Arabidopsis thaliana: one gene and its partners. The protein of the gene in region 3 purifies or fractionates together with the protein of the main gene of each other region. This does not show direct contact. Each region holds a gene or a part of one and is shown on either strand. Other genes may lie near its edges.

Evidence for each region.
Region 1: the proteins of SEP3 (region 3) and CHR4 purify together in Arabidopsis thaliana (affinity purification with mass spectrometry, with the first as the bait; one study listed by BioGRID). This does not show direct contact.
Region 2: the proteins of SEP3 (region 3) and PKL purify together in Arabidopsis thaliana (affinity purification with mass spectrometry, with the first as the bait; one study listed by BioGRID). This does not show direct contact.

What each region holds. Positions count from the first base shown.
Region 1 is NC_003076.8:18,088,825-18,096,115, forward strand, and holds the start of CHR4 (chromatin remodeling 4), read right to left. Parts: upstream 5,084-7,291; 5' UTR 4,364-5,083; intron 3,457-4,363; 5' UTR 3,339-3,456; coding exon 3,120-3,338; intron 3,026-3,119; coding exon 2,924-3,025; intron 2,825-2,923; coding exon 2,069-2,824; intron 1,437-2,068; coding exon 1,341-1,436; intron 1,210-1,340; coding exon 1-1,209. Other genes in the region: AT5G44820 (Nucleotide-diphospho-sugar transferase family protein), read right to left, coding at 6,971-7,291. UniProt on the Arabidopsis thaliana protein: Chromatin-remodeling protein that binds DNA through histones and regulates gene transcription. May specifically recognize and bind trimethylated 'Lys-27' (H3K27me3) and non-methylated 'Lys-4' of histone H3. Probable chromatin remodeling factor.
Region 2 is NC_003071.7:10,711,613-10,719,147, reverse strand, and holds the start of PKL (chromatin remodeling factor CHD3 (PICKLE)), read right to left. Parts: upstream 5,084-7,535; coding exon 5,009-5,083; intron 4,741-5,008; coding exon 4,597-4,740; intron 4,503-4,596; coding exon 4,365-4,502; intron 4,275-4,364; coding exon 4,120-4,274; intron 4,018-4,119; coding exon 3,856-4,017; intron 3,588-3,855; coding exon 3,373-3,587; intron 3,282-3,372; coding exon 3,186-3,281; intron 3,079-3,185; coding exon 2,942-3,078; intron 2,849-2,941; coding exon 2,636-2,848; intron 2,546-2,635; coding exon 2,438-2,545; intron 2,277-2,437; coding exon 2,226-2,276; intron 2,136-2,225; coding exon 2,036-2,135; intron 1,905-2,035; coding exon 1,762-1,904; intron 1,647-1,761; coding exon 1,543-1,646; intron 1,445-1,542; coding exon 1,306-1,444; intron 1,053-1,305; exon of another isoform or gene 950-1,052; intron 549-949; coding exon 379-548; intron 4-378; coding exon 1-3. Other genes in the region: AT2G25169 (uncharacterized protein), read left to right, coding at 5,134-5,217, 5,690-5,805, 6,170-6,234, 6,433-6,542. UniProt on the Arabidopsis thaliana protein: Chromatin remodeling factor that represses the expression of embryonic trait genes (such as NFYB9/LEC1) upon and after seed germination and thus enables the developmental switch to post-germinative growth. Silences some MADS-box proteins such as PHE1 and PHE2.
Region 3 is NC_003070.9:8,591,262-8,600,068, reverse strand, and holds SEP3 (K-box region and MADS-box transcription factor family protein), read left to right. Parts: upstream 1-3,970; 5' UTR 3,971-4,206; coding exon 4,207-4,391; intron 4,392-5,177; coding exon 5,178-5,262; intron 5,263-5,371; coding exon 5,372-5,439; intron 5,440-5,523; coding exon 5,524-5,623; intron 5,624-5,701; coding exon 5,702-5,743; intron 5,744-5,826; coding exon 5,827-5,868; intron 5,869-5,953; coding exon 5,954-6,096; intron 6,097-6,188; coding exon 6,189-6,279; 3' UTR 6,280-6,493; downstream 6,494-8,807. Other genes in the region: AT1G24256 (uncharacterized protein), read right to left, coding at 7,080-7,148, 7,330-7,521, 7,603-7,674, 7,893-7,991. UniProt on the Arabidopsis thaliana protein: Probable transcription factor active in inflorescence development and floral organogenesis.

The DNA of each region.
Region 1 (7,291 bases), on a different chromosome or scaffold from region 3:
CTTGGTCGTCCCAGTAGAATTCTTAGCATGCCACTCATAGTCTCGAATTATGGCTCGTCCCTTTGCACTTCCATGATACTCCACAACATTAAGGAGTGGAGCCCAAAGAGAAAACTCTGATAGCCAGTTTGGCATTGTTGAAAGTGGAACCAGGACTAAACAAGGTCTTGCAACTCCAAATTCAAAATAAAGGGAGGAGAGGAATGCACTAGCAGACACAGTTTTTCCAAGCCCCATCTCATCAGCAAGTATTACATTTTTTGATTTATGCCAGCATCTACGCAGCCAATTCAAAGCCTCAAGCTGATGGGCAAACAAGGCACCTCCTCTGAGCTCTTGAGGTTGTTCTGTGAGGGTAACGACTTCACCCCTTTCCCTTGTGGGATTACCCTTACTATTCCTTTCCAATGTTTTCTGCTCATACTGATGAAAAAGATCTATTAAATGGGATGAATGTTTAAGAATAGGCTCCTCCAAGCTCTCCCACGTGCATTCATCATAAGCTAAGCCTGTCCACTTTACGTAAGCTTCTTGGTTACCTTCTTTTGAAACCCGGAGAGCAACTATTCGCTGAGGCTGTTTCCATTTATCTTCACAGATGTTTATTACAGCTGTTCCGTACTTTGCTTTGTAGTTCTCTAGTTTTCTTTTAGCTAGACCTTTCAGCTCCGCCTCAGAAATCCAAGTATTATGAATATTAGATTTATCCACCCATTTAACAAGAAACTCATATGATACAGTCTCACCAATAAGATCTGAAGTTTTAGCAGCAACAGGCTCCTCAATTTCTTCATCAGCCACAGTGCTTTTTTCCCCTGTTTCCTGATGTGCTTCTTCAAGTAACTCCCTCTCAACAGATACATGCGTTTCACTAACTTTCATATCTTCATCATCCACATGTCTACTCAATGTGGCATTGGAAATGTCTTCAGAAAGCATCTCTTCTTTCACCTCAACCATACCCTCGGTACCTAAAGCAGAATCATCCATATCTTTATCCCTCAGTCGTGAATCCCTCGAACTTTTACCTGTCTCAGAAGAAGAATCTATTCTGTCCTCAGCAACTACTAATTCAGCATTCGTATCTTGTACTAAGCTATCCCGTTGGTCAGTAGCTTGTAAATTATCCGAACACAAGTCATCTGAAAGAGCACTACACAGCGAGGTTTTAGTCAGACCTTGGATTCGGCATCCTAAAACACGATGAACCTGTTAGGAAACCACAAACAAAAGAATGAAAAGAGATATTAACAAGCATGAGCAACACATGAGTCACCAGAAATGAGGGCGCATCATAATAGATAATTCTGAAGGAACAACATTTTTATTTTGATGGATACCTGGAGGTTTCCAACCGGAAGAGAGTTTGTATCTTCCAAACAACTAGAAGATTTATTAGTGGCACGTACTGCACGACGTTCCTCCTTGGGAAGCTTCTGCATTAGTACGTATAAGTGGTTAAGAACATATACTAAATGAAAGATGATGCAAGAACAACAACGAATAAAAAAAGAAATCAATAGGACCATCAAGAAATTTCAACTCTAAATTCCTAAAGAAAAAAAATCAAACTATTTCCAAGCTCCTGCAGTTAAAAGAGGTATCCATAATTCATCTGCCGAAACAGAGGTATAGTCACATGTATCATAACTACTTGTGAGAAACCACTATACTAATAAACAGGCAAAACAATATTGAGTTTGTGAAGAGTCGCAAAATGATAAGCAAAACAAAATGTCACTCTGGTTATATAAGAACTTAAAATAGCCACAATCTTCAGGACAGAACAAGAAACACTACATGCAATATTGACCAAAGACTCTTTACATTAATGCAGAAGATACTCAACATTAAATACAGAGTGTCAAACAATCTTGAAACGATTCTGAATCTTGTAACTCTACCAAATCTCTGATCTCTGAATTTTTTTTCTTTTATATCTTTTTAGTGCTACAACACACTTAAGAAAAAGGCGTGGATGCAACATTTTAAGGTTTCAGACAATTCATTTCCCTAGTATCAGCATAGTAGAATGTCTACAAAATCTATCATGAGTAGGAAATCATACCTTCACTTTTTCTGGTGTTTCTGTCTTGGACTGAGGTTTGGACAAGGATTTTAAAGTCACACGATTTTTCTTTTTCTTTTTTTTCGAAGACTCCGGTGATTTGGTAGTCTGAGAACTGGAACCCACTTTGGACAAACTTTTCTTCGCGCGTTTCTTATCAGTCTTGCACCTTTCAAGACTTTCCCCATCATTTAGTTCACGCTTCCGTTTTTTCCTTTTACCTTTTCCAGTCTCCATTTCAGCAACTGTCTTGTTCTCCACGATCTCACTGGAAGCATGTTCCAACTTCTCCACGGGTGCTTCATGAGTTTTCTCCGTATCTGATAGTTTAGATTCGGAGAGATCTTCACAGGACAGCAACGTTAATCCTGCATCAGATGGTAAATCTGCAGTGGGTATGACGGGTTTCCCCAAATCATCTTCTCCATGAGACGATGAATCAGGTCGGTCATCCGCAGATGCATGACCAAGCTCAGCAGTTGAACAGCCATCCATCGGGGAAGAATAAACTTCCTTTCCTGTGGATTTGCTCTCTTCGGCCGATATAGATTTCCCTTTCTCTGAAGATTGTTCTCCAGAAATTATAGAACTGCAATAAATCTGAGAAGCTCTTTCGCACTTTGGTCCGGCTTTTGAATTTCTTTTCTTGGTTTTTGTTCTTGCTCGCTTAGCAATGGCATCTAAACGATTGACAGGCTTGAGTGCTTCACTGTTTGGGGAACATTTTGGGCAGATCCACTTACCATTTGGAATCCGCTGGAGGAGACGAGATAAGGAGTAAGACAAGTTTCCCAAATTTAGGTGTTGCGAATCTACGACTACAAACGACACATGGAAAAAAAAAAAATCATTTACCTTAAGAGGTGGATTGAGGCATGCGGTATGATAGGTCCGAGGACAACTATCACAACACAATAAATCACCACCAAGGTCACAGATCACACATTCAAAATAATTCTGTAAGGAAAGAAAAATGATTAATTAAACAACACCATATAATAAAATAAGGAGACAAACTTTTAAGAACACCAGAAAGATAAAATGAAGTTACCCCATCATTTCCTTTCCTCTTAGAGGAGTTCCTTTCAGGAGTCGAATCAGTCTTAAGCCGCTGCTTACTTGGTTTAGAGGAAGAAGTGTATTCCGGGGAATCAAAAGCCATAGAACTATCCACTTTTTGGTCTAATATATCTAGTATAGACGGAAGTTTTCTTCGTTTCTGCTTCATGACCCAATCTCTTTTAATCATTTCACTGCCTGAATCTTTCATTTTCTACTTCTGTTTCCATACCATATGCTTGATAGAGAACCGGATAGACCTTCATGTGTAAATCACAGCTACCGAAGTAACTAAAGAATACTGGCCTTCAAAAAACTCTGTCTCTACACTAAAATTGTAAACAAAAAACGAGTAATGTAAACCATAATCTAAGATCAAGAGACACTGAAACAACAGTGAGGTAGTTAAATACTTAAATTGTACACATGCTCAGAAATACTGAACAGAAAAATTGATAAGATTAAATGAAGTATAACTCAAATCAATGATGCAGCATCGGACAAAGCACAGTGTACCAAACCATAAGGCCATAACCACAATTTCATTCACTTTTAAACCGATATGAAATCAAACAGCGTCATCCAAGCATATAAGCTATAGAAGCTAAGAAACTAAATGATGTCACCCCTAAAAATGGTGGTATAACGTTAGAAGCCTCACCATCCGTAATCAAAAGTCTTAATTAAAGATGAGACACAAACCTAGTAAGTAATCTAATCTTAACACAGCTTTTATAATAAACGATTCGTTCCCTCACTCCTTACGAATACTTCCATTAAATTCATACTTAATTACATTCCTCTACTGCAAACTACATTCCTCTACTTCAAAATCAGGTGTTCTCTAAGGCAATAATACACTAGTTCTAAAACATAGATCAATGATCCTATATAACTGAAATAATCAACGACAGATGGTAGAATTCATGAATCACTGAGATTCAAGTAAAGACAGCCATTGGTAATGAAACTCAAACAAACATAATTTCACACACAAATCAATAGAGAAAAGAGCTAAACAACACACATTGGCACTAAACATAAAGCTTCATTGGAGATAAACCCAATTCCCCCCCAAAGAAACTCAATTAAACCGAATCACACTAAATCAGTCCTTAATTAAACAGCATTAACATTACACAAGCATCAAAACCCCTCACCAAGTAAGATAAATCATCGAAATTACATAAGCAAATACAAAAAGAGGAAATACCCAGAAAGGAGAAAGCAGCTTACAAATCTGGGAATCTGAAATCGGAATAAAGTTGTTAAAGAGTCCTCCGATAATCAAGGACGAGAAATCCGGCGACGGAAGTTAGGGATTGAAGTCCCGGAGAAAGGGGCTTCTTCTTCTTCTTCTTCTAGGGCACGGCCTCACGAGAGAGAGATACGAAGGGAAAGAGAGAGAGAGAATGAGAGAAAGAGAGAAGGCGACACGCGAAACGATAAATAAATTAGAGATAGAGAGAGAGAAAGGTCAAGTCTTTGAGAGATGGGTTTGGGTTAAAGGGAGAGAGAGAGAGAGAGAGATAGCGAAAAGAAAGGCATATGATTCGGATTCGCCGGGCTCATAGGGGAACGGACTCTGACATGGCACCCAACAATCGCACCGCACGAGACAGAACCGGGAACGGAGAGTGACCTCTCTTCCTCTCTTTTCACTACACGTGTCCCCCTCTCTCTCTCTTTATCAACAACCCAACAACAAAGGTCTTGCCTTTTTGCTTTCTTCCTCCGTTTCGGTTCGGACCGGACCCTTCTCTGCTGTTATGTCTCGAACCATCATTTGTGTCAAGTGCGATCCAATGAGAGAAGAGACAAAAATCCGCCATGGATCTTAATTTCGAATTTTGTCTTACTTATTAGATCCTTTAGTTTCTACTTTGATATTATTTTTATGCTTCTTGTTTTTAGCTGGTTTTAGTTAAATTCGTTTAGATACTACTAGACAGAGAGCTTTTTAGTTTTATAGAATAAAGTTAAAAATTTCAAATCTATGTTTTTAAAACGCCGCCACCAGAGAAAATGATTATCTTTTCTTTGACGTTAATAACCTTAATTTAATGTTCTTCAGACTGAATAACTCTTTTTTTTTACTGTTATTTTATTTACTTAATATTTATTTAATGAAAAATTGTAAAGTGGACCATCAGGTATTTGGGCCGAACTTAGGTTACTTGTGATTGACATTAGGATTATACATTTGGGACCCATTTGATAGGCCTTTTGAAAGTGATTGCTGTCATAACATATATTCATTTTATCTGACACAAAATTTAAAGTGTTTAAAAAAAAAAAAAACAGATGTGGTTTTGTAATTGATAACGCGTAATTTTAATGGACTTTGTAACACTACAACTGAAATTTGTTCTTCTATGGTTAGTGTCCACTAAAAATAAGGTTGCATAAATGTTGGGAAACAAATATTGTGATTGTGTTATTGGATGGATGGTTGTGTACTTGTGTTATTTGTTTTTTGCAAACCAAGTTGAACACATTTGTTTTTGTTTTTTTTACAAAGATGAATCGATAAGCAAGGTGAGATACTATGGTTTACATTTGTATCTAGAACACGGTTTTATTATATGGTGTTTTACTGTTTTTGTTATTCAAATGATTGTTTTCTTCTTTGGTGATCTTATAGTTATAATACTGTATCTTTGTAGGTTCTTTGATAATTGAACAACATATTCATGAGGAAGATGAATTAAATGTAAATATTATATGTAAAACTTAAAATTCAAGTGTTTCTTTACATTACATCAATTATGGAAAATGTGCCTAATCGTACATTCTTTTGGGTTGGGTCTAGCAGTTGAAAACTCCTTTCAAAGGAGCACAAATTCTCATTTTTTTTGGGCCAATGGACCAAGTACTACTTGGTAAACATTCAAGTGTTTTTTCTATTTTGTCATGTGTGGTAGTACCATATTCGAGTTTCGACTTGGTTAACGTTTTTTAAAGAGGCAGTATGTGATTATAAACACACTCAACTCTCTATAAGTTGAAGAACTAGTCACAGTCCAACAGATTTTCTAAAATTTATGTACAATAAATTTCAAAATTTTAGGGTACAAAATATCTATTATGTGTTACATAATTTGTAAATGAATGACACATATCATATCATTATTGATGAATCACTTTGTTTAAATCTTGCCTACTTTTAATCCAATGGAGATATGATAAACTTATATAACCTACACTCGAAAGCATCTGGGCAAATTGGCAAGCCACCTATGTTGTGTTGGGCTTCTCCGGCAGCCCATCTCATCTAAATTTAAAAAACTTGTAACGAATCTAGGCCCAAACCAAAATTATAACTGACCAAACCAATAACTACTTAAATCTACAAATCGGGTAAATGACTACAAAATCTACGTTGATAGAACTTATGAAACTACATTGATCATTTTTCATATTACCAAAATCAAAATCGTATCATTTCTTTCTTTTTTTTAATGTAATGTCAAATTATATTCAAAAGAAAAAATATATACGTTTTTACAACTTGTGCTTCGGTAATTGAAAATAAGATCAAAAACTTTGAGAAATTTCAGAAAAAGTTTGAAACAAAAATCGTATCATTTCACAACACAATTTATTCAATACATTAACATTTCAAACCAAAAACACTAAAAGTCTAGAAGATTATTTTAGTACTTTCTAGCATTCGGCTCGGAAAACAAAAAATGACATTAACAAACAGAGAAAATTAACCATCAAAAAAAATATTTGATTAGATTAGAGAGCTAAAGAATATTCCTTGCACGAACAATAAACTCTTCATTTTTAAATATACTTTTCATCCAAATCTCAACAAAACAAAGAAAGAAGGAAATCTCAATCTTCCAAACACTTCATAGGAACACTCCACGTCGTGTTCTGCACTGGTTCTGACAAAGACAGGTACTTTCTCCAATCATCAAGGACAAGATTCAGATCATGAAGCTTCTTGTCCAAACCAATACAACAATTAGCATGCATTGTGCAAACCAAGTTTATGTCTCTGCTCGTTTGACAAAACCCACCAAAGTAAACTGTATCAAAGAATCTCATTTGGATTCCAATCTCTGAGATAAAAGGCTCATGCTTGATTCTGTTGAACACATCTTGATCATGCAAGTCTGGATAATCTAGACGAGATTTGTGCCAAAATTTGTA
Region 2 (7,535 bases), on a different chromosome or scaffold from region 3:
TCACTACAGAAACAGATAAAACAGTTTCAATCGTACGTATGAAAATGTGAACAGGCGTAAACCAAAACAAACTGCCATCCAAGCAGGATCCCATGGACGCCACCCATATTGCATGCCTACAAAATCTAATTATTAGCAAGATAGCGGTTAATAATTTTCCTGATCTTCCTGCTGTCTTAGAACATCCATGTTCAAGAAATAGCTGTTATTGGAAAAAAGCCAAGTGCCTTTTTATCACTCATCACAACCCAATTCACTTAAAAATCAACATTAAACTTCCAAAATATTATGCTATCAAGCCAAATAGTTCCTCTTACAGCTTGACACAATAACTATGAAAAGAGTACAGATGACACTAAGAGAAGCTGAAATTCAAACCTGTCATAAATGATTACTGTATCAGCCGTTGCAAGATTTATTCCTAAGCCACCAGCTCTTGTGGAGAGCAAAAAACAAAACTTGTTAGAATTTTTGGCATTGAACCGATCTATGCGTATTTGCCGCTCAGCTCCGCCAACCTTTCCATCAATTCGCTCGTACTGCCATTTCTGACAAAGACAAGAAAATGAACAGCGTAAATCATATGAGAATTTTCCTTAACTGCATGTTAAAAAAAAATGTGCTAGAAAGAGATAAAAACAAGTTGTCTCAAGTGCATGCGTCAGCAAAAGCAATGGTATTGATAATGGCATTTCAAGAAACCAAAAAAAGTAATCTTTGAGGGAATAAAGAAGTTATATTGCCAACAGAGTAAGTAATGACAAAAATTCTAAGAAAGTAATTGCACCTAGACATAGAATCAACTCTACCTTTTTCAAGATCCTTAGGCAGTAAGTCGAGCATGTGCTGAACCGAGTGTATATGAGAACAAAGTGTCAAAATAAAAGAGCAAGAATACAGAGATCTCGTATATACGCAGTACAGATAACAAGTTCAGTACCTTATAAGAACAGTAGTCTTCAAGTAGATCCAGCATATGCTGAAACTGTGTGTTTATGAGAACTCTGTACACACAGTTTCAGCACATGCTCGACCTATTGGAAAACTACTGTACATAGAAGATGGCTAAACTTGTGATTTGTACTGTGTTTATAAGGAAACTTTGTGTCTTTGCTCTTTCAGTTGGGCACAGAATGCTCATATACTCTCAATTTCAGCACATGCTTGTATTTCCATAATTGTGCCTAAGTACTCTAACACTAGAAAATGGTAGAGTTGATTCTACAGTGTCAAAATGATATTCTACAAAAACAACAAGAATGAAAATCTACTGAAACAGACTGTACATATAAGAAGTTCAAATACCTTATGGGTACAGTAGTCTTCAAGTAAGTCCAGCATATGCTGAAACTGTGTGTATATTAGGACTCTGTGTCCTTGCTCTTTCAGTTTGACCATCATTTTATCTAGAAGTTGCAGCTTTCCACAAGACTCCAAAAGTTGTCTTTGATACATATAAGAAAACGTTCAACGCAAAAGTTAGCAGACGACTTTAATAAGTAGTAATAAACAGATAACCATTTTTGGGAAATGAGATATTACTTGAAAGCTTCATTTGCGTCGTGAATAACTGGCTCAACACCCTCTAGCATATAAGGATGGCAGCATACTTTTCGTAATTCCATCATAATGTTATTAAGGGAAATCTGAAACAGAAATAGACCAATACATTCACTAGACGATTACAGTTGACCTGGTTTCTACCCCACCTATGAGGTTTAATGATCCAAAAAGTGTAAACAAAAATTAAAAAGAACTTACTTGAGCACCTCCCTTTTTTGTCAATACTTGATAATTACGGGTAAAAATAGCTTTGTAATATTCTTTCTGCAGACTGCTCAGATCAACACGCAAAATGAGCTCCTTTTTGGGGGGCATGTCTTTCATTACGTCTTTTTTTACCCCTGGAAGAGCAATCAAAATACGAGACAGCATGGTTAAGATCATAAAATTATTACTATGAAAGATTCCCTCCAACCAAACTTTTGAAACACATATAAATTAAAAAAGATGAACAAATAGTTTTGGTTAATACTTCTGAGCAAATGTGGAGCCAACATTTTGTGCAACCTTGAGATCTGCTCCTCTTGATTAATATCTTTGAACTCCTCCTGGAACTCCTCCAAACTTCCAAACTGCAAGTATTGTGCAATCAAATAACATGTTAGCTACATAAAATTCTGTTAAGTATGCGAACTTATTTATCTTTGCTATTCTTGTGATACCTTCCCCGCATCAAGAAAATGCATGAGCATGAAAAGTTCATCCAAGTTGTTCTGTAAAGGCACCACATAATCATCAGTAACATATTGCAACTAATCAGGTAAGACATTAGTGCAAGATAATATATAACAATTCTCATTGCAAATCGTAGCTACTATGCTCAGATACAACTATTGAAAGTATAAACTTCAGAAATCAAACTCAAATGACGAACCTGAAGTGGTGTTCCTGTCAGAAGAATACGGTGGTTACTTGAATACTGTGTCAATGAAGAGAACAGCTTTGAATCCTTATTTTTCAGTCGATGACCTTCATCAACAATCTGCCCAAAACAATTGTTACTAGGCAACATGTAAGAGAGAAAGAGAGACGACTAAGAGAAAGTAAAGTCTCATTAGAGAATAAGAGTTACCATGCACTCCCACTTAATTGGTTTTAGAACTGCTGAATCTAGGTTGATCATCTCATACGATGTGAGGAGGACATCAAACTTGATTCTTTTTTGCTTGCTTTCGCTACTTATTTGTCCAGATTTCTTTTTCTTGATCTTTTTTTGATCTTTCGATAAGTAAAACTCATGTTCTCTGATAACTGCTCGAGCTTGCGCAGTGCCAAAATACATAACCTACCCGTCAAATGACCACGAAGACCATTCCATTAACAAACAACAAAAACATACAAATGGCACAGATCATTGCGTGTATAACTGCATACATACCACGTTCATCTGTGGGGCCCATGTGGCAAACTCTCTCTCCCAGTTACGCAGAGTCGATAGAGGAGCAATTACCAAATGCGGAATGAGGTTCTCCTCAAAAAGTGAAGCTAAAAGGGCAATGCTTTGAATTGTCTTGCCTGTAACAGGAAAAATCTCACAACATTACAGGAATAGAAAACAAAGGCCCCTTACAATGGATGAAAAGATCTATGTGACCACCCAAGTGGGACAATTGAAAAATTACCTAGTCCCATTTCATCAGCAAGGATTACATGCGTCTGTTTTGACCACGAGAACCGCAAAAAATTAAGTCCCTCAAGCTGGTATGGATGTAACAAGCCTTCAATCGCAGGAAACAAATAAATCATAACATCTATAAGTACCAAATATAAGAAACATTTATAGTATATGATTTAAGGTGATCCAAATACCTTTGAGGAATTCAGGAGTATGATCAAACTGTTGAAAGTCTCTGGGATTTCTTTTATGGTCAACATCTTTACTTCTGCGAGTTCTAGAATTTACATCCTTGAACCTTTGAATTTCATTCTGGAAGGTTGAGATGTCTGATTCTGACTCCCAATAACATTCATCATAGGATAGCTCTTTATATTTGACAAGATATTCCAGCTCCCCATCTTCCTCTCTATATCATAAAAGAAACCAATGCAACTGTCACAATTCCTGATTTACGAAACAACTAAGAAAATGGTAACTTAAAAAGAAGAAAAAAAAGGTAAGCAGGTCATTTATCATGTTTCAGAGACCCAAAATCGTGATAACAGTAAATTTAGGTTAAGCAGCACTCTATCAAAGATACGTGTTTATTAGAGAATGGATTATGCTGAAAACAAGGATATTAAAAAAAAAGTTGGCAGATAGATAAATAAAGGAATTAATTCCATTCTCTAGACCTGCAGGCAAGAATCCGATCAACAGTGGTCCACTCAGGACGTATGGCAACAAAATCATCTTCGCTGTTATTGAATGACTCCATTTGACGGTGAAAATTGTTCACTCTGGTTTTTAAACGATGATTTGACTTATAAGCCTTCTGGAACTCCTTCTCAGGCACCCTATGATTAGTAAAAGGAAATAAATCACATATTATAGTGTTCACAGAAAGAAACATTGATAATTAGCGTGTCCAGACAGCAAAAAAGACACGCAGTAACTACCAAGAGCAGTGAAGGTATGATAATCCCTTCCACTTCACGAGATACTGTTTCACAAAAATTGGCTTCGGTTCCGCATCGGAGGAACCTTGTTCACTAGATTTTGTAGGACGCATTTCACAATCCAATATCTTATCTATCTCGTTAAGAGGACTAACCTGCAAATGTAAACAACAATTCTTCCATGTAAGAAAAATGGAACCTGTAGCATCCCAAAACATAATTGTGGACCGTAACTAAAATCTTACACATTCAGGGCATCTCCAATTTTCCACGGAAGCATCTTTAAGAGGTGGAACTAAGCATTTAGCATGGAACGCATAAGTGCATGTATTGCAGCTTACAAGATTAGTACTTTCCCCACAAGCCTGACATGCATTTTCTTTCTACAAATTCAGAGTAACAACACAAAAAAAAGGATTAAAATAGAACACATAAAACAGTAAAAGCTGAACAATAAGCTCGAGAGGAGAAACAAACCGCATCAGTTCTGACAATAGCCTCGACTTGCTCAAAGGTTCGATCTTTTTTAGGAACGAAGTCGTCATCATCAGAATCATCTAGGTTATAAACTGGTTTCCTATCAGATCGTATGCGAAGCCTCTCCACCAAACTACTCATTTTCTGCACACAAAACATATCTCCCATCAATAACAACAAACTTACATAAACAACACATATAACAATAGACTCAGTGCTAGTTCTGAGACTTAAGCAAACTATGAAATTAGAGTTTCACACAATTGAACTCTACTACCTAAACAAACATCACAGTGAAATTTTTTGTTCCCAATCTAAAACCTTTACAACTATATCAAGAGATAGTTCGTACAATAGCTACTAAACAACTCGATTCATCAAACTCTATACCACATGAGCAAGATCGACTAACCTTGTGAAAGAGAACGAGAGAGAAATTGGAAAAAACCCTAGCCAAAATTACCCATAAGAATAAACAATTGAGCATCGAAATGTGAGTACCCAGAAGTCGAATTAACAATCTCTTACCGCAATATCATGAAAAGATCAAAACTTTACAAAACCCAAACAGTTTCAAACTCAGTTTGTAACGAAAATTTGAAAGAAAGGAAGAGAAAAATAGTAACTTGAGAAGTAATTTGAGAAGTCGAAAGCGATATTACTAGTCGAAGATAGAGTAAAAAGTGAAGCAGAGAAGAGTGTGGAAGAGAAGGAGAAGACGAACCTTTGAAATGGTTGGGATCTGTTTTTGCAGAAGAAGAAAGTAATCCGAAACGAACGAAACTTGAAAATTCAGACAACACAAATGATTTCTAACATTTAGCTTACCAATTTTAACTTATGGTTATTATTAACTTTAATACACTTCTTAAGGTATAAAATATCACCTCTAATTAAATTACCTTCTCAATATCATTATTTTTTCACACACAAAAAACTTACTTTTTTGTTTGAAAAAATTATAATTACTTCTAACTTATAAAAATAAGTGTCAAAAATAATGACAATTACTTTTCACTTACCCAATATTGTTATTATATAAACTTAGATATTTTTAAATATTTAAGTTTATTTACCTTTTCCCCTCAAAGAGGCTAGAGGAAGATTTAACATGCTTTGCTTGGTTTCGCTATTTATCATGGAGCTGAAATCTCTTGACGTGGGTTCACTCCTTGTTGGTGCTAATTATGGAGAAGATTTTGAGACAAGGTTTAAAACAATATTGAAGGAAGTATATGCTTCGAATGGGCAAACAATCTTGTTCATTGATGAGATTCACATTGTTATTGGTGCAGGTGCTCTTTCTTTTTTTGATTCAGATTATACATTAATAGATGACCTTTTTATTTATACACAATACTTGTATGCATTTTTTTACTCTGACCAAGTAAAACGTTTTGTATAAATGGTTTTGATGGGTGGTAACTCTATAAAAATGATTTTTCATCTCATTAGAAGAATACTGCATCGAACAATTATTGAGGATTAACACTGGAGATGAACAATTATGTCTACTAAGTATTTCTTGTATAATCTTGTGTCTCTATACTAATGAGTTATTACTCTTGTGTAGGAGCTACTTGTGGAGGCGTGGAGCAATAGAAGCGAGCAACTTCTTGAAACCGTTGCTTAGACCAGGTGAGCTGAGATGCATTGGTGCAACTATGTTTGTTATATCCACCTTAACTTATTTAGCTTAAACTTAACCAACCAAACCCACTAACACTTGTGGGGCTATAATTCACTTACGGCCCAATGGCCTTATTACAAAACACAAATCCAACTCCGTTCTTATGTTGGATTTGTGTCGTTGACTCTTCTTCCTCCTTTGGTCAGTGGTCACGACAACTTCTTATTCTCTTCTTCCTCCTTTGGTCACGACATCTTCTTCTTCTCTTCTTCCAAGCTTGGCTTCTTCTCTTTTCTTCATCTTCTTCTTCTCATGAAGCTTTCTTCTTCTTGTAGGATTTAATCTAGGATTCAATCTCCAACGACATTGACCAAAAATATATAGAGAGATATCCAACGCTAAAACGTAGGTTTCAGCAAGTGTTATGTAGTCAACCAACTGTCAAGAACTAATTGCGTAGCCCTTACAATATGTAATAACAATTGTAGCTTAAATTACATGCTTTGTTTTCAGATTTTAACTATTAAATTTTTGGTATATTTCTTTGAAATTTTTTGGATAGTTCACAAACACATTACCATATTTAAATCTGAATTATTATGTGACATCAATATATAGTATAACAAATGATGATGAACTATAATTTAATCGTATGGATACTAGCATAAAGCTTATAAAATGCGTGCTCCGGTGTTATTACACGTGGTCCAAGTTCGACTATAGAATACAATACAAAGGACACAAAATCTTCATGTACAATCAAAAATTATCAACCCCATATCTTATAGTTGGAAACGATCCAAAATAGGTTATATAAATAAAATATATAAAATATGTCAAGTATAACGGTCTCACATCACCCTTTTGGCTTTTGGGGAAATATCGGATTTATAGAAAAAAAAAAATAATAATAATAATTAAGACAATAAAATATTTGGTCTGAATCTTTTTTGAGATACTGTTGTATCATAACAATATCTTTTAGAGTCATTCAACATCAATCCACATGTATTGCACTGGAACATGCATTTTAATAAGGTTCTATGTTTGTTAAATTATGCAGTCATGTAATAATCAAATTTTATGATAATGTCTTTGTAAACGCTATAAACTAAAAATTTATAATAGTTACATGTGTAAAAAATGTTGTCGCTTAACCATGTCATATATATGTTGGTTGGTATACGTGGATATACGATACATATAATTGGTGTAGTTAGCTCTCATTTTTTCTTTTGTTTTGTACATTATCGTCGTACGTCGACTTTGTATACTACTTTATACTCCGTCAAACTAAAATAACTTAAAA
Region 3 (8,807 bases):
ATTTGTAGTGAAAGTGGGAAGATAAAAGATCTCACCCTCACATGTTCAAAAAAAAAAGTTGAAAATGGAAGTAATTCAACATGTAGCATAGAGCCCAAATATGTCTCATTTTTTTAATCCATATAATCTCAAATCCTCTTACTTACTTCTAAACATATGGTTCCCATAATCATAACAATGCTATGTTAACATGGCCGGTTCTAAAGGAAGCCAAGTGCAGCAACTGCCTTACGCCTCTACGTGTTAAAATGAAAATGAAGACCACTGACCACTTCTATTAAAGCTTCATTCACTAGTGTATAATTACACATTTTTTTAAGGATTTATGAGTAGTGATTGAGGCCCATATGTTTGTATGTTTGTTTTTCTTACTATATCATTACTTGACTATAAGAGTTGGTTTCCTATTCCATTCTCTTTTCTAACAGCCTATATATGTAAAAATCTAAGCAAAATTTCTTGTCAAGAGGATGATTGTACATTTGTACTTGGTTATCTCGCCCCGGCCCAAAACATACCTAAGGCCAGGTGCTATATCCTCAACCTGCTTTGGCATTCATCAATCTACGAACTTTGGCGTGAAACGGTGACAAGATTAACAAGATTCACTCTCAACTACGATGTTCTACTATCTCAAATCTTTAAAAAAGTGGATCAAACTGTCAAAAGTCTAGTTCGATGGACTAGCTTCAACACTCCTCCAAATCTAGTTCGATGGACTATATATTCTCTTCTGATGCTATCCTTATCTTGGATTAGGCATCTAAACTATGGTTTTAATGGTGTCATGAGGTTTTACAACTTACAAGGATGAAAGTTATTTACTCCCAGTCACTATCTTAATCAAATGACAAAATGTTAACTAGTTTGAGTGCTTATATATTAGTTATGAATCTGAAATTTATTAGTGTGTACATAAGTGATACAACACTTAAATAACATCTACATGAGTTTTTAAATAACATAATAATCCATTATAGTAGTTTACGGCATAAGGTATGAACCAAATTTTTCATTGCACGCTGAAAAGTGAAAACCTTTAAAATGCATAATGACTAAGAGTCTATGACAACAGTAACTTACTATATATTAGAGGAGGGGTGAAAAAAAAAGTAGAGAGACTGGTCCAAAAACTTAACCCCACTCAATAAACCCAGACGTGACTTGTTTGACGATAACTCCATCTTTCTATTTTGGGTAACGAGGTCCCCTTCCCATTACGTCTTGACGTGGACCCTGTCCGTCTATTTTTAGCAGATTAATCCAACGGTTCTTATTCTTTCTTCGACCCTTCACGACATTGCCTCAAAGCCGTCCGATTCTCATCTCACGCCCAATGGACCACATATATCACCAGTACTCCGCAACTTAGCTGTCGTGTAGGATTTCACGTGGCATTTATTTGTTCTAGTTTGTAGTGCAAACATTGCAAGTTGATATGGTCCCCTATCGATCACCGTCGTCTCTTTAGCTTCACATCGAGATTCTTCTTTCTTTCCTACGTGTAATAGCATTTTTGATTTTGAGAATTTCTTTAGAACCGTTGGATCTCTCATCGTTGGTTGATCCATCCATCCAAATGGGACCTGTGTGTGCTCCATCCAGGGCATATGATCCCAAAGCCAAAAGAGTATTTCCAAGTGCTTTCTTTCTTTCTTTCTTTCTTTCTTACTAACCTTTTTTTTTCTTATGCTTTAGACTAAGAAATTTATTCGGCCATATCCACTTTTACGAATATACTTCTTACAAGATCTAGATTTTTTTGAGTTAATTCGGTGTATATAACATTGGCATAGACTGCAATTAAGTAAATGATAATGTGATAATGATGCGATGTGTTGTTATCAAGTAGTATAATATAGATGGCTAAATAGGTAAACAAAATTACGTGTTATATGTACACAATTAGGTAGAACCGTAGAAATTAAACTGAATAAAACCTTTATTAATTTTAAAATTATATGGTACAGATAAATACGGAAAAACATTCACGCTTTACGTAACAATTAAGTGGAAAGTAAAATTATCCCAAAAATATTTATATCACATCATTGTTATATTTCTAAGTTTTTTTTATTTCTCTAATGGTATATGTTTTACAGATTGTTTTTTGGGAAAATTCTTAAAGAGACTTGAAGAATGTTTTTTTTTTATTTTCTTGAAATGTTTGACACTTGAAACCGTTTAAAAACTAAATATAGTATATATCATTGTTGGTCTCATACCTTGTAATTCACCACATATATTATCAATGGGGAAGATTTGAAAATTTTTGGGGGATCACAAAACGAAGGAAAGAGTACAAAAAGAGAAGGAAAAGATAGAAGATATATGTTTTTAACTTCATTGGTATGACATCAATAAATAAATAGTTGAATGTACTTTAGTTTCTCTTTTGGTTTAATGCACATCATCTCGATCAATTGTCATCATCTTACATTGAATTATACGACCAGATCTGATAACAAGTGAATTCGTACTTGCCCTTCCCTTTCTTCTCATACGTCCTTCTAACTAATTTTGATTGTAACTTATAATTATATAACCATATTTAATTTTATTTTATCTAAAACCAATTGAAGCAAATTAAAATATCATAAATCTTGAGTCCCACATGAAGACAATATATAAAACTCGTGCAAATTTGCTTAAAATGCTTCTATGAGACCATGACCAAGTGAGATTAATAAGCGATTCAATGTGCAAATCAAAAGAGAAAAGAAGCTAATGGGTTTAAATATAACCAAACAGAATAATAATGCTATGTTTAGTTTTTCTAATTGAATCATACCTTTGTGTCCATCACCTACTTACCGGTCAGAATAAAGCAATTACGTCTGCAACCAAAAAGCACTAAGACTTTCGGTCAGACATGATCTCTAACATCGGACGAACCCTAAGATAACCAAAATAAACTATATCTTATATTCAAATCTCTGTTTATTTTATCCATTTATGTTTTCTTTCTTTCCCATAATTTTTTTTGTGTCTCATCAGACTCTCTTACCAAACTGAATTTATCAACATGGTTTTTTTTTTGGCCACATCAAAATGGTGGTTTATAAAGTAGACTAATACAAAAGACATTTCTGTTAATTTCACTAACAAAAATAATCTTAGCAGTACTATAGATTGGAAAAGGAAAAGCAAATCTAGCAGTAAGATTTATCAAAACTAGCAGTAAGAGTTTTAGATATCATGAAAACATCACAAACGAGTAGTGTTTTACTTTACATTTTTAACCAATCACAAGGGTAGTTCCGTAAGTTGGGAAAATCGTACGAGGCTTCACCTAGTTAAGGTTAGGTCACATGATTCCCTGAACTCGATTTTATAAGTAAAAAAGAAAAATTTATAAAATCAAAATTTTTTATATAAAAAAATCAGGTGGATTTATCAGACCCTACCATCGAGATGTCGACACGTGTCCAAACTCATTCATTGCCCTACTATTTTCTGTTTAGGGTTGCAATCACTCATCGCACACGCGCCATCTCCACCTTCCATTATTAATCTCTCATTTTCAACATCACACTCTTACGAATCATACGATTTTAATATCTCTGTCTCTCTCAACGTATTAAATAAAAATGGTTTTAAATGTTAGGGTTTTTTGTAGGATTTTCAATTATTAATCTCTATAATTCGATGAACTAAGTAAAAAAGCATCAAACTTTCTTGGCAGAATCACATTTTTCTCTAAACTAAATATGGACTGAAATTGAAAAATTAAACCACTAGCTAGAATAAAGTGTTGGTGAGAGTGGAACTCTAATTTCTCTCCTTTACTAATTATGTATAAACACAAAAATGCACCAAATTTTTAGGTTTGAAAATATCTAAGCATGGATAGGGTAATTAACATTTTTTCTTTCAATTTTGCAATATTTGAATAAATCCTATGAGGGTCTTTGGTACACAATAATTGGAGGGTATATAGTTGAGTCTGAGAGTATATTAGAAAGAGAATATTTCAAGTAATGAAGCTGACATGTTTATATGTACTTTGAGAGAAGTGTTGTGAGATTTGTACAAATGTATATGTACACTTTAAAAAGCAATATAAGATAGATAAAAAAAATATAAAGAAAAAAAGAAAGAAAGAAAGAAAGAAAGAGAGAGGCTCATATATATATAGAATTGCTTGCAAGGAAAGAGAGAGAGAGAGATTGAGATATCTTTTGGGAGAGGAGAAAGAAAAAGAAAATGGGAAGAGGGAGAGTAGAATTGAAGAGGATAGAGAACAAGATCAATAGGCAAGTGACGTTTGCAAAGAGAAGGAATGGTCTTTTGAAGAAAGCATACGAGCTTTCAGTTCTATGTGATGCAGAAGTTGCTCTCATCATCTTCTCAAATAGAGGAAAGCTGTACGAGTTTTGCAGTAGTTCGAGGTATATATCTACTTTTGTATATATATTACTTATAACATAAACATTTTATATACATATTAAGTAACACAAAAATGTCTTGTATGTATGGGTCTCTCTGTGATGTGTTGTTGTGTCGTACGTACGTGTTCTATCATATCCTTTTAAAAGAAGCAAAGAGGAAAAAAAATTTGGGATACCCCAAATCTGTATCATTTTATAACAAGTTTGCTTTTTTGATGTTCTTTTGTGTTTCTCTTTGATTTCCATTTTTGTTTTTGATTTTTTTTCTATTTCTCTTTACATCTATCAAAGTTTTTTTTCTTATATTTTATTGCTTATTTGTTTGTCTACTTAATTCACATTATCTGAGAGAAGAACAATCTATCTGATATGAAATTAGGGTTAATTTCTCTTGTGAGTACTCTTTAATTCACATAAGCTTAAAGTTTCCACCTTTTGATTCTGGGGGTCGTCCAATTCGATCAAATCACTCAATTTTGTTGTCAGATTGATATAAGTTCATAGGGGGATATTGTTTCCACGACAATCCATTTTAGTAACCCTTAGGGGTTTCCAATTTTGGGTTTTGAATTGACGCTAATGTCAAATTCATCTAAAGTCCGTTGGATATGTATACTTGGGGATGGGATTCATCCTTTTTTCTGGGTTCTTTAGATCTTCTCTTAAAAGACTAACAGATTTTGTTGTAAACCCTAGGAAACAGTTAAAAATCCCATTTTTAAAAACATGTTTTGAACTTGATGAGTAAGATTAATGGAAGAAATGATGTTTTTGTGTGGTGTGAAGCATGCTTCGGACACTGGAGAGGTACCAAAAGTGTAACTATGGAGCACCAGAACCCAATGTGCCTTCAAGAGAGGCCTTAGCAGTTGTACCCAATTCTCTTCTCTTTCTTCTAATTACCTTAATTAATTACTCTCAATTTTTACTTTGATTTTTAGAGTCAAATGATTAATGTTATAATTTGTCATATACTTCAGGAACTTAGTAGCCAGCAGGAGTATCTCAAGCTTAAGGAGCGTTATGACGCCTTACAGAGAACCCAAAGGTAAACTAATTAGCTTCTTCAGCTACCTTCAGAGAGTGTTTGTTTTTTTAGTAGATTTTTTTGATGGTTTTGATGTTGAAATAGGAATCTGTTGGGAGAAGATCTTGGACCTCTAAGTACAAAGGAGCTTGAGTCACTTGAGAGACAGCTTGATTCTTCCTTGAAGCAGATCAGAGCTCTCAGGGTACTACTTTGTTCATCAATATCTTTATACACTGATCTATTTCCATAGTAAGATTAAATTTGGTGTTTAATTCTGCAGACACAGTTTATGCTTGACCAGCTCAACGATCTTCAGAGTAAGGTAAATAAAGAAACACTCATTCTCCTCTCTAAATTCCTCATCTAAAAGTAATGTAACCAAGAAAACACAAATATTTGGAGCAGGAACGCATGCTGACTGAGACAAATAAAACTCTAAGACTAAGGGTAATTAATATACATTCTCATATCACCAAATTAATGCATCACTAAATTTGGTTATAATGTGTGTGTGTATATACATATGTGACAGTTAGCTGATGGGTATCAGATGCCACTCCAGCTGAACCCTAACCAAGAAGAGGTTGATCACTACGGTCGTCATCATCATCAACAACAACAACACTCCCAAGCTTTCTTCCAGCCTTTGGAATGTGAACCCATTCTTCAGATCGGGTAACTTTAGACTAGTATAACCAATTTGATTTGAGTTCTATTATAAGCTTTTCTTAAGAAAGTATCTCAAACTACTAAATTTTATGGAGCAGGTATCAGGGGCAACAAGATGGAATGGGAGCAGGACCAAGTGTGAATAATTACATGTTGGGTTGGTTACCTTATGACACCAACTCTATTTGAATCTTTCTCACTTAATCAATCCCTCTCTTTTTTTTTTGACATTTTTAAGATGATGTTTCTATTTTATTACCTCTCTCATGTTTTCTGTCTTGTGTGCATGTGTGTGTGTAATGTTTATGCCCTTCTATTATTCAATAATTTTTTCGACAATTTTGCTTCCTATTTTTACCCATTACTCCTAAACTTCCTGATCCAGTTTCTTTTAAAATAACTCCCATTTTATGCATGTTATCTAACCAATTCTCTTAACTATGATTTATGGTACGATATAACTCACAGTCTCACACTATCTATTTGGTGTTTTTTTGTTTGAGTCTTGAGAAGGGACCGCTTGTTTATCTCTCTTGTTAAAGAGCAACTCACTGGCCACTGCTTATGTATCTGTAGGCCCCACCTATATCATTTTGGCTATATCTATACTTTTGTAGAGGGAGTATTACTATAGAGAAGAAGATAAATTTGGTTCTAATATATCTTGCAGGTAGTTGATATTCTCAATTATCATGAAGATTTGATAGACAAGTTTATCAGATACCTTAAACATAGGTTTAAGATCTCAATTGAAATGTGAATTCACCCGACGATTAGAGTTACGATCTAAGGAAGCGTTTCTTGAATTTTGAGTTTGTTTGATCAAGAGTAGAATGCTTTTCTATTACTAAGGTTGTTAATGCTTATATTCCATGACCAAGGCCAAGAGAACAAACAAAAACATGGTGCCTCTTGATGTATAGTAATGGCTCTTAATGGTCATATACAGAGAAAAAAAGATTAATGTCGTTGCACAAGCTTGAAGTTACTTACTCCTCGTCTTCCTCATTAGTGTCTTCGTCTTCCTCATCCTCATCGCTCCCAATATAGGGCTTCATCTACTTGAAAACCAAATGCTCATGCAGTGGAAAAAGATAACAGAGGTTCAAATTAAGGCAAACAAAACTACAAGTGAGAAAGGGAAACTACAAGTGGTAAGATGTAATGTTTTGACTCAAAACCAGATCAGACAATGAAAAAAAGTATTGATACAAAAAGTCCATCCGGAAGCATAATTACCGCTTGCAGGATGTCATCAGAGATGTCTGTTAGTCGGCCAATGGCATAGATGGTGAGCGGACCAGAGTAGCGTAAATCCTCTAAATACTGTCTAAAAGCCGGACCGACCCGACAAGGATCACAGTCAAGGGGAATAGGACACCTATTGATATCCCAAAAGACTGTTGTTACAGCCACATCATCCTTGTCCAACTGGGTAGCCCAAAGGGAAACTAGTTGTGGTAAGAGCTTGTTTGACTCAAAAAATGGCTAACTAGGATGATGCTGAATTACCATCTGTTCATGTTTTTGACTAGAGAGATGGGTAGTGAAATTTTCAAAGCCTTTGCAAAACGCCTGTGGGACCTGTTTCAGAAAAAGACTTAAAAGACTTGAGACTCAAGGAAAATAATATCCATTATATAAAGATGACAACAAATATTAACGGAAGTAGGAGTGATTGAGAACGATTCTAGTAGAAGAGACGGCTCGCAGGACGTCGTTTATAATAGGCCAATGGCAGAGATAGTGAGAGGACCGGAGTAGCCTAAATTCTTTAAATGTCGTTTGATACACGGACCAACTAGACGAGCATCATACTCAGAGGGAACCGGACACGTCTTGATATCCCAGAAGACCGATGTTACGGCCTTAGCTTGCTGCCGCGTTGCCTTCATCATCATCTTCTCCTTTTAATCTATAACGGAAATCAAACATCAGATAAAGCATTCGAAAAGATAGATTGACACAGGTTAAATCATCCACTTCAGAGAAAAAGAGAGGGACATGGCCGTAAACAATGAGATAAGGATCGGCCTAATGTTTATAATGGGCTTGCGTTTAATGGGCCTACAGTTTCTTGAATCAGCCTTATGCATGAGTCCTAGTATTTTATCAACTTTTTTTTTTCATCTTTCTTTAGTTACAATAGATTTAAAGTGTTTTTTGTTAATGCCATTGCAAAATTTGGTAACTGTTTATAACATTGTTCCTCACTTCAAAATTTAAAGCACCATTAATAAAAGCTATACATATAATTATAACTTGGGTTTTGTGCAAAAAAAACAAACAAATTAACCTTTCATTTTAAATAAATGCAATTCAATACCGCAATATCAAAAGTAACCCGTATAACCTTTATTCGTGTATAGATTTTAGAAACAGTATAAGTCAAATTATCAAAACTATGTTGTTTTAAGCATTTTAAAAATAAGAATAATAATAATGTTGAAGGGTGGATTTGAACCCATGAACTATAGAACAAACCAAAGCATGCATAACCACATGCGCCGAACAAACCAAAAACTCATGGCTTTGTTAAACATATAAAAATATTCGAATAAAAAATGTGGGGAACTTGTTACCAGTTTTGGTTCTTTTTGGAGCCATTTTTTTCAACACAGATATTGTTAAGGAGTTTCAGGTAAAACTGTATATTATGCAGGGAACCACAGTAGGCTATAATGAAAGTCACACTGTGAAGTTAGCAGACAAGTTTT